Oryza sativa Japonica Group: one gene and its partner. The protein of the gene in region 1 interacts with the protein of each later gene in a pairwise test. Links are inferred from orthologs where the notes say so. Each region holds a gene or a part of one and is shown in the gene's direction. Other genes may lie near its edges.

Evidence for each region. The genes of interacting proteins can lie anywhere in the genome.
Region 2: the proteins of CPK24 (region 1) and protein OXIDATIVE STRESS 3 LIKE 1 interact in binary tests that used the Arabidopsis thaliana proteins (3 or more experiments, as listed by UniProt). The link is inferred for Oryza sativa Japonica Group from reciprocal best matches to the Arabidopsis thaliana genes CPK4 and AT5G21940.

The regions. Positions count from the first base shown.
Region 1 is NC_089045.1:3,544,028-3,552,145, reverse strand, and holds the start of CPK24 (calcium-dependent protein kinase 24), read left to right. Parts: upstream 1-4,055; 5' UTR 4,056-4,645; intron 4,646-4,735; 5' UTR 4,736-4,805; coding exon 4,806-5,409; intron 5,410-6,366; coding exon 6,367-6,510; intron 6,511-6,596; coding exon 6,597-6,749; intron 6,750-6,859; coding exon 6,860-6,975; intron 6,976-7,532; coding exon 7,533-7,700; intron 7,701-7,949; coding exon 7,950-8,118. UniProt on the Arabidopsis thaliana protein: May play a role in signal transduction pathways that involve calcium as a second messenger. Functions as a regulator of the calcium-mediated abscisic acid (ABA) signaling pathway. Phosphorylates ABA-responsive transcription factors ABF1 and ABF4 in vitro.
Region 2 is NC_089036.1:33,458,687-33,466,651, forward strand, and holds protein OXIDATIVE STRESS 3 LIKE 1, read left to right. Parts: upstream 1-2,480; 5' UTR 2,481-2,534; coding exon 2,535-2,821; intron 2,822-4,607; coding exon 4,608-5,094; 3' UTR 5,095-5,432; downstream 5,433-7,965. Other genes in the region: endoglucanase 8 precursor, read left to right, coding at 1-487. UniProt on the Arabidopsis thaliana protein: Promotes slightly the tolerance to zinc (Zn) and to oxidizing chemicals (e.g. diamide).

The DNA.
Region 1 (8,118 bases):
CTTCAGAAATACCATTGACACAAGTGTGAGTTCTAAGAAATACTATCATACAAACGATTTTGTCCCAAAAATGTCATCGCCGTTAGGGTTTCATTTATTTTACACCGTTAAATACACTGTTCATCATATAGAACTTAATGGCACAGGATGGACGGAACCCTAACGACGATGGCATTTTTGGGACAAAGTCGTTTGTATGATGACATTTCTTGGAACTAACACTTGCCGATGATATTTTTGGGACTTGGACGCTTGTCAATGACATTTCTTGGATTTTCTTTTAAAGGATTTATGAATTTTTTTTAAAAAAAATAGTCATGTATTAAGTAATATTCATATTTTATCATCTAATAACAATAAAAATACTAATCATAGAAAACTTTTAATAAGACGAAGAATCAAACGTTGTATCTAAAAACTGAAAAATAGTGTCTTTGTGGGACGGGAAGTAGAATATAGATCGATCCACCACTTGTTACTTGACTTCAAAGTTTTCTGTGTTCATTCACAACTGCTTAGCTTGAGTGACTGACCAAGTGTAACGCGGAAAAGCATCATGAATGGCCATTACGTACAGGGTCATTTTCTCTGAAGGAGAACGATGTCTCAGACATGGAAGAGGACTGCACTGGCCATAAAATTCGGATGCTGATCTTTAAAAAAAAACCCGTAGTTTTCAAGCTTTTGATCTACTTTACACGTGTAAATATTAGTTGCCCTTGATTGCGCATTTCAAAAGCGACAAATCCTTAATCATTCTGAATATCTTCAAGTTTTGTCACGTTAGACGAAGTCGGTTTCGACGAACCGTAAGACGGATGGCATGCATAGTTGAATTTCAGTTTAAATTTTAAATTTAGGGAATAATAAAGGTGGTCAGATGGTGCGAAGTAAAGTTTAAAGCTTGTTCCTACACTGAATCTCTCAACATCACACTTTCTTCAGTTGTGCCATTATAAATTGAAATTGCCAACAGTTGCAGAGGCAACTCAAGGTCTCATTCTCAGAAAACTCATCAGTCAGTTTCAGTGAAAACCAAGGGTGGTTAACAGTAACCACCCCACCAATGAGTCCATGATCTGATGATCACACCTCTTGCAACATCTCAAGTTATTAACAGGCATACATATCATCTCCCATAAACAAAGAACATATATCATCCCTGATTAAAACATGAGTTTATCCTTGCAGGTTTGGTAGATGATCACAAAGTTGACAGTGATGGAAATGGGGTCCAATCCAATGCCATGCTCAGTGTCCTCATCCACTGTCTCACACAATCTCTATCACCATTTGTGGGCACCATGATTTCATCATCTCCTCCTTTCTTGCAAGCTATCATTAGTAGCCACTTCATTTCAACAAGAGAGTACTGAGGGGGTGTTTGGGAGAGAGGGAAACAATAAGTCCTTAGGGGAGGGACTTATGTCTCCCAAACACCCCCTGAAAGATGGACTGAGCCTTGGACAAATTCATGTCAAGCTATTATTTAGGAATTTTTGTGACATGGAAAGTTGTCAAGCTTGCCATTTTGAACGCCAAATCGTGGGTGAAAGTTAGCACGAGTACACAATTGTGTGATTAATTTGCTTCAGTGGTTAATGTCAGCAAATGCCTATGTACTAGTATTTCAGATATATTTCTTTTTTTCACATCAAAATCATGACGAAGTTAGTGAAAACATAGGATTGAAATAATTCATTTGTGGAGGAATAGAACTTATCATTGCACATGGATTTGGAATTTGGGATAGTGTTAGGTGGTCCTGAATTCTGATCGGAGCTCCCACCTACCGACCCAACAAATTCGTGTCTAGGTGGTGTTTGGATCAGGGACTTAACTTTAGTCTCTGTATTTAGACACTAATTTAGAGTATTAAATATAGACTACTTACAAAACTAATTACATAAATGAAAGCTAATTTGTGAGACAAATTTTTTAAGCCTAATTAATCTATAATTAGAGAATGTTTATTGTAGCATCACGTAGACTAATCATGGATTAATTAGGCTTAATAGATTCGTCTCGCGAATTAGTCTAAGATTATGGATGGATTGTCTAAACATCCGATGTGATAGGGAAAGTTTTAGTCCCATCTAAACAGGGTCTTAATCGGTCTTGATTAGTACAATAGTACGAACTAACAGTTATTTAGAGGGGCCAGTGCTAGAAGAAAACACACTTGGACCAGTTGGTCGGCCATTCAACCATGACATGTCTGTCTGATAGCACTGCTTCAAAATTCTAAAACAAATTCGAAAGCAGACTTCAAAGGAATCATAGGATGGTGCTACTAACTTCGGTTTTGAAAATACATCGTTTTGAGCATGTTTCAGGTTAAACTTAAAAAAACTCTAAACATCTAGTACATCTTATACTGAAAGTATGAAAATTATAAGTACAGACGTATTTTGATTATTATAATTTCAACATGCTAGTATATAAACATACTGTAAAATTAGCAGTCAAGGTTGCATTTTGAAGGCCATATGGATGTTCAAAATAATGTTTTCAAAACTGGAAGAAGTACTGTCAAGTAGGCTTTTTTTTAGCTATTTTTTAATCACACAAAATGCAGAATGATGACAGGATGGATACCTGATTTACTGAAAACCGTGTACAAAATGTTGAAGCTCTTATCTGGTGTACAAAAAGTTGAAGAAAATTAACATTTGGCAAGGAAGATGCACCTGCCCAAAGGAATGAGTCAAGATGCAATGGAATGGAAAGAATAAACAAGAAGAAGGGAAGTGTACGAAACAAAGAAAGAGCTAATGGATCCAATGAAACCTTTGGACATTATCTAAAAAAAAAAACCTTTGGATTCCTACTGTTGTCTCTGTCGTCCTAACCTTATACAGCAACAATTTCCCGTGAACTCATGTTCAGAGAAAAGAAAAAAAAATCGTTTGTACCCATTGTCTGAAGAAATATTCCAAATCCGAGATTCCAGTAAAGTATAGCTGAAATATGAAGAAAACTAGCAGTGACTAAAAGAAATTTGTTCTCCGCATAAAAGACTCTTTTCGAGAGGACATAATATTGATAATATACAGGACCAAGAGAAGCAGTTTATTGGAAATGCAATTACAAAATAAAAGAGCATAGAGCATAGGGAAAGCATATGAATAACTTTATAGATAGATTATAGAAAAAATACATGAATTTATGGAGAAATAGAGACTCAGAGAAAAATATTTCACAAGGTCAGCTCCATTATTTGCTATTCAGCTTATCCGTCGTAACCAAAATTTAAATTTTAGAGTTAATTTTATTTTTACCGTACTTTATTTTTTAATATTGTCTTTTAAATTGCTAATAACACATATATAAAAGTTTACCCATACTGTTTTTTATCGTAAATACGCATTACGGTTTATAATCGGCTTCCTTAAGGCATTCCAACGAAACTTTATAGGATTATAAAATTTGATATAGACAAAAATAACTTACATAGCAAATGCTAAAAATTTCATACACAAAACCTACTCGATTTGAATCTTTTTAGGACAACGCTTTTCACTTCATATTATAAAAGCTTTGACTTTTTTTTGTCAAATTTTTTAAGTTTGATTAAATCTATAAAAAAAGTATAGCAATATCTCTAACAAAAATAAATAGGATGGGCGAACGACGGGAATTGAACCCGCGCATGGTGGATTCACAATCCACTGCCTTGATCAACTTGGCTACATCCGTCCCTTATCCAGCTAAAGGATTTTCTCATATCATCAAAATATATTCAATGTTATATTTAATAAAACTAACTTGATATTATAAATATTGTCAATTTTTTAAATAAACTTAGTTAAACCTAAATAAGCTTGACTAGAAAAAAAATTCAAAATGACTCGTAATATTTACAAACGGAGTGAGTAGAAAATAGGTTGACACAAAGAAAAATGTAAGGAACAGCAAAAAAAAAAAAAAAAAACAAACAAGAAAGAAAATAGAAATTCGAAGAGAAGGTTCCAACCAAGCATACCATCTTCTCCTTCTCCTTCCTCCTGCCTTCGTTCTTGTCTTGTCACACCCATGGAGGAGGAGAAAAAGGCATAGATACGACCTGGCTGCCCTCACAAAAATACTTCACCAAACCACCCTCCTCCTCCTCCCCCTTTACCATTTCCAAGTTCCAACCCCCAAAAAAAATCCAACCAAAAAGCGGAGATTTTCCAACTCTTATCATCTCCTCCTCCTCCTCCTCGTCATCGTCATCACCAGCACACACCCGAGAGAAAAAAATCCTATAAAGAAATGGATTGAGCCATCACCCAACGCCGCCAAGATCCTGTCCTCTTGTGTGCGCAACCTGTAGCTCCACCTCCACGCAGGATCAACACCCAAATCCCCCCATCTTCTTTTCTTTTTCGTTTCGTTTCTGCAAGATTTGCATCTTCTTCTTCTTCCTCCGAGGAGTGAGTGACACCTGAGATAGCGAGAGCGAGATTTTCTTCGGTTTTTTTGTTCCTCTTTTTGGCCATAAACCTCCCATAAAGCTCGGTTTCTTGGTTCGTTTTTTCTTTCTTTCTTCCTCTCCTTCGAGAATCGCCCGAGTGTGAAATCCAAGATCCCGAATTCCGTGTCTTCTTCTTCTTCCGTAGAAATCCCGGGGTGGGCAAAGCGGTGGGATTTCTGGAGAGGGGTAAATGAGCTTCCGTTTCTCGATTGGTTCTTGATCGCGTCTCCTCTCTCTCTCGAATTCATTAGCTTCTCTTCGATTCTTTGATTTCAGGGAGAGCGCTACAAGGCAAGAAGCTTGGGTGTCCGTAGTCCGTACGGTTCTTGATCTGGGGTCGCCGCCAATGCAGCCGGACCCGAGCGGGAGCGGCGGCGACGGCAACGCCAATGCGAAGGCGAAGCTGGCGCCGCCGCCGGTGACGGCGGCGGGAGGTCGGCCGGTGTCGGTGCTGCCGCACAAGACGGCGAACGTGCGCGACCACTACCGCATCGGGAAGAAGCTCGGGCAGGGGCAGTTCGGGACGACGTACCTGTGCGTGGACAAGGCGAGCGGCGGCGAGTTCGCGTGCAAGTCCATCCCCAAGCGGAAGCTGCTGTGCCGGGAGGACTACGAGGACGTGTGGCGCGAGATCCAGATCATGCACCACCTCTCCGAGCACCCCAACGTCGTCCGCATCCGCGGCGCCTACGAGGACGCGCTGTTCGTCCACATCGTCATGGAGCTCTGCGCCGGCGGCGAGCTCTTCGACCGCATCGTCGCCAAGGGCCACTACACCGAGCGCGCCGCCGCGCAGCTCATCCGCACCATCGTCGCCGTCGTCGAGGGATGCCACTCGCTCGGCGTCATGCACCGGGACCTCAAGCCCGAGAACTTCCTCTTCGCCAGCGCCGCCGAGGACGCCCCCCTCAAGGCCACTGATTTCGGCCTCTCCATGTTCTACAAGCCTGGTATGTGTGGTTTCTTAGTTTCACATTTGCTCATTTTGGTAAGCAATTCGTTGTTGTTATTGTTCATGTGTTTGCATTAAAATTGTGTACTGCTTATGTTGCATTCAAATGACTAAGTCGGAGCTTTGTTTATAGCTTGCCTTGGTTGAATCAATTAAGCTTAGTAATAGTTCTTTCATACATTGTTCATTTGGCTGTCTTCAGATTAATTGAACTCAGCAATAGTTCTTGCATACATTGTTCATTTTGCTGGAAGACAGCTTACTTGTCTGCTAGATTCTTACTTACTTGTGGCCCATCTGTCCTTCTGTTACACCCTGGTCTGCACTCATACATTGGGTTTTGGGTTTGAATAAATGAGGCTGAGATATGTGTGTGGTATGACATTGATATGATAATGGGAGAGGGAATTGAAACGTTCTTGGGTTCTAGCTGGAAACTCAATCTGTGCAAGTTAGTCCATTTTTGAGAAAAGGAATACCACAAACAGTTCCTACATCCTAGTACTAGTAACTTTGATGTAAATGGCAATAGTACTGCTTTTGTGGTTTATCTCATTTGAACTTTTTAATGCATGTCAAATATTTTTTATGATATTGTGATAGTTGCCAGCTGGTAATTTTCGCAAGGAACCATTAAGTATTTAAGTGCTCTTATGATTACGTTATGTAACCTTAAAATGGGTAGGGAAGAGGTATCTTTGTCTCCATGTAGTCACTATTCAGCTAAGTCTAGTTCAATGGTAGTGTTATGTATTGTTGGACATGAGATTGGTTGCAAATTGCCTAATTTAGGAAGATGATGTGAAATGCAGTGTCATACCTACTGCTACCACCATCGCCATTGTTGTTGTTCCTTATTTGTTTGTATCTGTACTGTGTATTTTGACTTGGATCTTGTCAGGAATGCTGTATGAGTCATGTTAAGTTTATGAAACTCTGATTTTCATTTCCTCAGGTGATAAGTTCTCTGATGTTGTTGGGAGCCCCTATTATGTTGCACCTGAGGTACTTCAGAAATGCTATGGTCCAGAATCTGATGTCTGGAGTGCTGGGGTAATTCTTTACATTTTGCTATGTGGTGTTCCACCATTTTGGGCAGGTAAATTATTTGCCACTAAACAACTAAATTAGTAGGTCCCTCCAAATTCTCACGTTTCCATTGTCATATTGTCTCTTGCCTTGCAGAAACTGAAGCTGGAATTTTCAGGCAGATTCTACGAGGCAAACTTGATTTTGAATCTGAACCCTGGCCTAGCATCTCTGACAGTGCTAAAGATCTAGTCCGTAATATGCTTTGCCGGGATCCTACAAAGAGACTTACAGCCCATGAGGTTCTCTGTAAGTCAACCCTGTTTCCTACTCTTACTCGCCATAGGTCTGCTTTGCTTAAATATGACATAGGTAGGATGTCTTCTTTTTTCTCCTTGTGATGGCATTGCCTATTCCAGGTCATCCATGGATTGTTGATGATGCTGTGGCACCTGACAAGCCTATTGATTCTGCTGTTTTGTCAAGACTGAAGCACTTTTCGGCAATGAACAAGCTCAAGAAGATGGCATTGAGGGTACGGAGATTTGTCTATAAGTTTGTGATTCAATTATTTGCTTATTTCAATTACTCTCAGGTTGACCTTGTTTGCCTCATATATGAAAGGCACCTGACAAGTCTCATTTTCTCCCCTGATTTGTTTGTAGGAAATGAATCTCACTGTTAACTTCATTTACTTATAAAAGTCTTGCATCTGTGGAATTCAAAAAATAATTAAGTGTTGATATATTCTACAACCATGTGCATTTTTAGTAGAGAGAGCTATCTGATCTCTTGAATCATGATGCCTCTTTTCATCCATTGACACCACCTTTGTTTGAACCCAGGTTCATTTGGAATATATCCAGTAACTATTCTGTTCAGGTCAATGTTAACTAAGATGATGTAGCAAACTGATTCTTTCTGACATTTGTTTGGGGCTACACGAAACCTGTTTCCTTGGCAGCCCAGACACTTAATGCATTATAGGCATCGTAGTTTTTCTTTTCTTTTGAAATGCTCGATCTAGCTTGTGAAACATGCAATGATCATCTTGAGCTCTTTACATATTGTTAAGTATCTTTCATTTTGCAGGTTATTGCTGAAAGCCTGTCTGAGGAAGAGATTGGAGGACTAAAGGAGCTATTCAAAATGATTGATACTGACGATAGTGGAACTATAACTTTTGATGAGCTGAAAGAGGGCTTGAAAAGGGTGGGTTCAGAATTAACAGAACATGAAATCCAGGCTTTAATGGAAGCGGTAAGTGCTTCTTTGTTAGTTGATCCTTCAGGGAAATGTAACTTGCAGGGGCCTTCTGATCCTCAGCATTTTGTATTTCTTGCATGCTGTAATTTTTATGTCTCGTAATTTACATCTCGGCATCTCTCTTGCCTTTGCTAAAATGGAAAAGAAAAATCCTTCACTAGGAAAGAAAGGTGTTTTGTATTAAGATTTAAGATAGCATGTCTTGCTGCTTTTGCTAAATTGTAATATGTTCATTTGTTTCAGGCTGATATCGACAACAGTGGAACCATCGACTATGGTGAATTCATTGCTGCTACTCTCCACATGAATAAGCTAGAGAGGGAGGAAAACTTAGTATCAGCATTCTCATTTTTCGACAAAGATGGAAGTGGTTTCATAACTATTGATGAGCTGTCACAAGCATGCCGCGAAT
Region 2 (7,965 bases), on another chromosome or scaffold:
CGGCGCCAACTCCCAGTACGTCACCAGCACGGCCTTCCTCTTCGTCGCCTACAGCGACATCCTCCGCCGGATCAACCAGCCGGTGATGTGCGGCGCCCAGGCCGTGCAGCCCGCCCGCCTCCTCCAGTTCGCCAAGCAGCAGATCGACTACCTCCTCGGCGCCAACCCGCGCGGCCGCTCCTACGTCGTCGGCTTCGGCGTCAACCCGCCCACGCAGCCGCACCACCGCGGCGCCTCCACCCCGGTGCTCCCCCCGGGCTACCAGGTCAACTGCGGGATGAGCTTCAGCGAGTGGTTCACCCCCGACCGGCCCAACCCCAACGAGCTCACCGGCGCGATCATGGGCGGCCCCGACGGCGGCGACAACTTCTCCGACAAGCGTGGCAACTCGTCCTGCACCGAGCCTTGCACGTACATCAACTCCCTCTCCATTGGCCCCCTCGCCGCCCTCGCCATCCGTGGCCCAAACCTCATCGCCACCCAGTAATTAATCACCATTATTATACACTGATTAATTACTGCTAAATTAACTAAAGATATTGAGTATATTACTATATTACTCCTCCTCCCCTGTATTAAATCTCGACGATATATACAAATTAATTTGTTGATTAATCGGAATCGAAATTAGAGCTGATGCATGCATGGACACGTGAGGTGATCGATCGGGCACACGATCGATCGATGACACGAACGAACAATTAATAACGCGAGAAAGGGCTCGCGCGAGTTGTTGGGGTAGGTCTCGGCTGGTCGTTAGGTTGGCCAGCTTATTTCTCGTTGCACGCACGCACGCACGTACGTACGCAGGCGCGCGCAACCGTGTGTAAGTGCGTGTGTGATGGATCGATCAACCGAGCGGCGCGCACGGGCGAATACGAACTTTTCCAAGTGATGAAGTGATCACGTATACACGTAGTACAGCAGCCGAGCTTTTCGGTGAGCGTGTACGACGTGTTTTTTTCATTGGACCGAACATAAAACATGTCAAGTACGTACGTGGTACGTTTGGTTAATGCATAAATGTATTTGTGGTTCTTCAAATCCCGTGCTCAGGTATGAATTAATTAATCTAGCTAGCTATATGGTGTACTATCTTGTACGAAGAAGAACATCTCTGATGCTGTATATCTTTGTGATGTATACTACACGCACAATAAATTATCTAGTTTGGTGCTATCATTTTATTGTGTCCTTCTCGTTTTTTCAAAATTTTAATTTATTCGTAACATTGTGTATGATGTGTGAAAACTATAATAATTGGTTGTAGCTTTTATTAAAGTAAAGACCCGAATTCTCATTATCTAAAAAAAACATTGTTGATCAATATCTTGATATCCCCTTTATTATACATCAGCTTTGGAGAGAAGGAAAAAAAATACATGTATTTATTTGACAATTGGTTTTCTGAATTACAAAAGGGGTCCTTGTCCAGTTGTCTTGAACTATAACCTTCCATTTTTTGAGTTCATTTTTATCATTTCTAGCACAAATAATAAATTGTACTAAATCAACCCCATCTGCAACCATTAGATCAGTAACCAACACCACCAGATAATGCCTACTTTACCAACACCACTAACAAAACCATTAGGGGAATAGGTGTACTTGTGGTAAATGAGGCAGTGATGCAGCGCAAAGGCAGGTACCAATTTATCCTTACAAAAGTTAAAATCACAAAGGTGGGTGACCTTGATGAACATTAGTTAGCAATGTACCGCAAAGAAAACATTAGGTAGCAATGAAGACAATCACTCTCTTAATAATCTATATGTTGTTTGCACTTAAGTTGTAATGTAAGTAACTCTTGGATTTAAGCATACGTTAGATTCTGCTGAGATAGACATATATTTATTCGACCGAGCTTAGTCAAACTATAGATGTTGGAATAAAAATGCTCGATTTATTTTAGAACTAACTCATTGGTGGATGATTGGGATTGGTTGTCGATTTGTCGTAACGAATTTATTGGATTGGATGGGATTGGTTCAATTTCGCTTCTATGTCCAAAATTGCATCGTCTTCTACTTTAACGGTATTAGCTTGGCATGTTGTTATTTGGCACAACTCTCTATTAAAGTCGTGTCCTTTCGGCTATTGGGTACCAATCTAGAGTCATGTCTCTTTTCACTTGTTTAATATATAATCTCTCAAATGGAGTGCATATCATTGTTTTTCTTTACGGGTTATCTAAATGTATGAGAAATTATTTAAAGCTAAAAAAAGTTCGGGGCAAATCTTTACTTATATATTACTACTCCATCTTTCTTTGCACATTTGCAAACTCAGGCAGAAAAGGGAAATAAAAAAGGGAATCAACCTGCCCTCCTTTTGCAGCATAAATACCCAACCCATCACTCCACAAAGAAAAAAAAAAGCCACTCTCTCGCGATTTCCCTAGTCTTTCGGTGTGCGTGCGCGTGTGAAGGCGAGCAAGCGAGCGAAAGCGAAAGAAGCAGCAAGCAGCAAGAGGAGGAGGCGGAGGCGGCCTCCTTTGCATGTGAGGAGAGAGAGGAGGTGAGGTGAGGGGGGCCATGTCGATCGCACTGGAGAGTGGGCCCGGGCTAGGAGGAGGAGGAGGGGGCGGCGGCGGGCCCCGGTTCGGCCGCGTCGCCCGCTGCGCCTACGCCGCCTCGCCGCCGCCGGCGTCGGTGGGGGCGCGCAGCTCGTCGTCGGTGGGGAGGGACAGCGACAGCCCCGCGGCGGCGGCCAAGTGGGAGTGGGACGGCGAGGAGGTGGAGGGCGGCGACGGCGAGGTGCAGAGCTCGTACAAGGGGCCCTTCGACACCATGGACGCGCTCCAGGAGGCCCTCCCCTTCAGGTATGGCTGGCTTCCCCTCCCCGCCCAATTCGTCGTTACCCCCACGGATCTTGATCGGTCCCGAGGTGTTCTTGCGTTTCGTTTGGGTGATTTGGGGGTAATGCGGGGTAGAAACCGCTGTTCTTGATCCCCCGGTGCGCGTGTTCCTCTAGAGAGATTTCGGGGGTTTCTTGATTCGTTTGGACCAATGCAGTGGAAAATACTGGTTCTTGATCGGTTTTAGTTGGGGAATGTAGGCAAGATTCTTGGTTCTTCGTGGACGGTTAGTGGTCATGGAGTAATTTGTATGGAGCGGTTTGGTTATCTATCCTTGAGTCGATGCTTATCTTGGAATTTGGGGGATTTATTGGTCGGACTGAAGTCAAACTGTTAAAAGAAAGAAAGAAAGAAAGAAAGAGCTAATTTAGGGTTCTAGGTGATTCTTTGTGCCGCCTTACATCCAACAAATTTGTGAACATGGGTTTCGATCGATTCGTGAAGCTGGGATATTTGAGGTCGGAAGAATACAGCGAATGCACTGGATGCCGGGATACTTTTGCGTATGGTTTCGTCATGCTTGCTTATTGTTGGTTCATGTTTGGGTTATACCCATAACCCATTAGGGGTCGATTATATTTTTGTAAGTAGTAGTCCTTAATGTTCTTGCCATGCCCTTAAAATCTTTATGCTGAATGTTCTGAGCACGAAAGGTTCTGATTAGACAATTTCTAATGCGTTTGTATAGGCTTCAGCAAGAATGACTTGTGATTAGTACTACTTTGTTGGTGTTTCACTTCATTCTTACTCCGAGGAATCAAAGGATCCTAGCACTTGAATATTTCATTTGAAGTCCATGCCATCTTATAATTTCAGAAGGGCACATTAGTTGTACTAACACTGAAAGACCAATTTCCATGATTCATAGTTCCTTTGGTATGTGTTGATACTTGATATTGACTATATAAGCGCAGTATTATGGGATGAAATCACACAAAACGGGTTTTATCAGAATTACAAAAAGTTCTATGGTGTATTAATGGTTGGGTTTCTTTGTTAATGATCAATACAATAGATGGTGTAAATTGCAGATATGTGCATCTTTGACAAAAGCAATGAATAATCTATCTTCTAGGTTGGTCGTAGTAATGACTTTGAGTTTGTTCGTTTGTGTTCTTGCAACCTGACTATTGTGTACAGGGGGGGTAGGCATAGCTCTGAGATCAGTTGATGCATATTACCTTCAGGCAGTAATATTTTTGTCATGAAGATATCATGAATTGTTATAATTTTTGCATAGGGACATTTTTTTTTTCTTTTGAGCATGCACAACTACTGTACAATTTCGCTACTGCTATTTGAATTCTTTCAGTACTAGTGTAAGTCTAGCACAACTACTTAGTAGCTGAGTGGGTTTGTAGTTCATACTACCAAGTACCTATTGGCCCTTGTCACTTGTAGTCGCATAGAATTGTGCATTCTAGCCATATGATGGAAGCAGAGATTGGGTATTGTGAACTTGAAGTCTTGAACACAATTCAATATGGCTAACATGATTAACACAGGAACAGGATCAGTCAGACACCACAATCTTTTTCACATGCTTTTGTTAGCTATCTTGTAGCATGTGTAATTATTTGTTGATCTGCAACATTAAAATATTCCGCAGCCTGTCTCTATCGTTGATCTGGCAAACTTGTTTGTCTGTTCCTTGTGAGGAGCATGTGTACTGCTGATGTTTTCCAAGTCTTTGCTCCAGCATCTTACAATCTTCTGTTTTATTGAGTAATTCTGTTCTTATCTATTGCAGGAAAGGGGTATGCAAGTTCTACAATGGCAAGTCTGGATCTTTTGCAAAGCTTCAAGATTCCGTGATCCCATCTCCACCTGAGAAAAGTCTTCCAAAGCCAGAAAACCCATCCCCTAGGAAGCGGAAAGGTCTTCTTCCGTTCAGTTTCAAGTGGGGCAAGCCACAGAACAAAGAGGTATTCCCTGAAGATGATGTGATCATCAGCCCTACAAATTGCAGGAGAATGACATTGTCACCAGCTGCAACAAGCAGTTCGGGGAGCAACAGCGGCAGTGATGATGAACACTACCGCTCTCCGAAGCTGCATACCCGTCAGCCACTCCGAAGGCCCAGCAATGCCGCCATGGGTGTCTTTGCTTCTCCACCTGCACCTCGTCCACCGCAGGTGTTATCAGCTCATATGAGATCACACTCGATGCTTGATCTGCAGGATGTGACAGAGTCGACCGCCATGGTTTCTCCCAGGGACAAGCGAAGGAGGAACTAGGAAGGGTGGATCTTGATGTGTTGTCGGTCTGGTCCAACCGCTGGTGCCCATTTTAGACTGCGGAATCCAGTGGCGAATGCCGTCGTGGTGGTAGGGCGCGTGCAATGCTTTAGGGGGGTGGGGGGTGTTTTGCGAGGTCAAATGGACTCGTATTCATAGAGCTTGCTGTTCTCCTTATACTTGATGTACTGGGATACATACAGAGAACCTGAGAAACTGATGTCGTTACCTGAGTTGGTGGGCTGCATGCGTTGATTACAGGTTGACTTGTAAATGCTGAACTCTGCTTTTGTCGATTATAATTCAATCATGTGGCCTGCTCTATTACATTTTGTATACCTCTCTGATCTGTGGTATCTCACCCTTGGAACTGTATCAGTATGCATATTATGTCCTGAGCTGTTGGTGTTCTTCTGTTGCTAGTACAACTGTACAAGTAGCAGCAACCTCTTCCGATGAACTTATCTGTGCAGATCCATCACTTTTTTTTTTAGAACATGCAGATCCATCACATAGTTTTGGATAAATCATTCTGCTCTTATGGGTACTGGTGTGCAAAGCGCAAGGATTTTGTTTTTTTGGCAGAAGATAATCTATTGCAGTACACACGCAGATTGTGTGAACGCCTTGGCAAATCCTGTTGGTCGGTTTCGTACTTTCATCTTCTGTTTTCGTGTTCGGAAGAGATTGCAGTGGCTGTGCAGCCGCAGCAGCTCCATCAAACGCAACAAAATTTCTACGGCTTTGTACTGTAGATACAGCCCAGCTGCGCCACAGCCGAGCAAGCTGCAAAGCAGCACAAGCGATTTGGTGGCACATGATTGCTGCTCTCGTTAATCTGACGCCTTCGGTAATCGGAACCTCCCACTCACAGCTGAAATTTGTTGTTTTCTCTATGCGTAGATCAAAACTGATCTTTCATATTTGTGTAAGGACATTTAAGACCTACTTCACTTTGTATTATTTAATTTTTATAAGATTTTAGTTAACTATTTGGACCACATGGACTAAATCTTAAAGCCCACAAATCTTGATAAGGCAAAATTGTATAAAGCACCCCAATTATCACTCGTTTTAAAATCTCCTCCCTTAAAAAATTCAATTCGTTGCAAAGGCCCACCCAACCAAACCCCTTCACATGAATATAAAGTCAGCCCGACCCCGCTGATGTGTAGTCGCAACAGGGGAACAGAGCTTGACCTTAGCTACTCTCTCTGTCCCAAACAGGGACGGAGCCAGCATTTTGAATCACTGGGGTCATGGCTTTTACTTGTATTTATGTCGTGTTTGAAACTATAATTATTCTCGAAGCTAGATATTTTTAGCTCACTTTTGAGCTAGAGCTATGAGTAAGTTGGGATTGTTCCATTTTGCTAAAAATAAATATTTAAAGTCTATTCTATAAGAACTTCTGAGGTTTTTAAGGTCCAAAATTTTAAAAGTTATGACTACATATAACCGGGCATAACAACCATGTGTTTTTTCAGACATACAAGTATGTTCTGAAAGTTGTTTATTATTCCATCTGTCTCAAAATACAACTACCTACGTCTTTTTAAGAGATTAATGTTAGGGTGTGAAATTATTGTGATTGGTTGGGAAAAAAAAGTAGGTGAAAAAAATTATATCGAGGAATTTTGTGATTGGAGATGGGATGGTTCATAGAAAATAGCTATATTTTAAAGCAAATTTGAATATTAGAAGTAACATATTTTGAGATAGAGTGAGTAACTTAAAAAACACATCTAGTAGTTGATTAGCAAAACTTCAGGCCTAATGCATTGATATACATAGCACATAGCTAAAATAAGTAGTTGGTTAATAGATCAAATATGTCTAATTGCAGCATTAGTAGCGGATTGACAGTAGCATAACACAGCTAACAAATTATGCTTCCAAAGAAATAAACGGTACAATTGTTTCAGCCTTCCTGAGCTCCAGCAGTTTATCAGGCTGGCCGGGGTCATTAAGCTTTTGTTGCTGGGGTCATTAGCTACAAAATAATGAACAATTCACTTGATTGATCGAATGTCATCAGGGTCTAATGACCCCAATGATAGTACTGCAGCTCCGCCCCTGATCCCAAAATATAAGCATTTTTAGCTATGAATCTGGATAACTGTACATTTAGATTTATAGCCAAAAGTTATTATATTTTAGGACGGATGTAGTAATTGCCTATACTGATTCGCCGCTACCCTCAGCCCTCGCGTTGTTCGAGACCGTCTTCTCTCTTTGATCTACACCTAGGACTAGGTTCAAATGGATGCACCTGAAACCAAACGTGACCCATTGGTCTGGTCTTTTACGGGTACAAGTCACGGGCTGACTCAGCTATTTACACACGTGGAGGGTTTGGGTGGGTGGGTTTTTGCAACAAATTGGTTTTACTAGAACTTTAGGCGCGCTTCGGGCCGCCCTACCGTTTGTTATTGGTAAAAAGTATCACAAGTCAGAATATGTATGTACTTATATTGGTAAATGTTGAGTACGAAAGGACTTCATTCTAGCACAGGCTGTGACATAACTTGAATTCCGATGTTACATGATGATTTGAAATAGACCCTGAATACTATAAGATAAAAAATACCTAATAATTTCAGAAACCACAATTATTTATCATACCCAAAAGAGCAAGAAAAGGTATAATAATGTACTTAAAAAACGGTTTAATCATTCATCCTCTTTTAAAAGAGGTTAATTCAGTTCCATTACGGGGCATGAATCACAAGTTGTAATGTGAAGGACTGTGTTTGCAATCACTTAAGAAAATAAATATTCTTCAATCGCACATGGGGACTCTCAGAATTTGTATGCACCAGGTTTCTGGTTTTCGTTGCTTGCAAAATTAAGTTGCTAGCAATCCTGGAA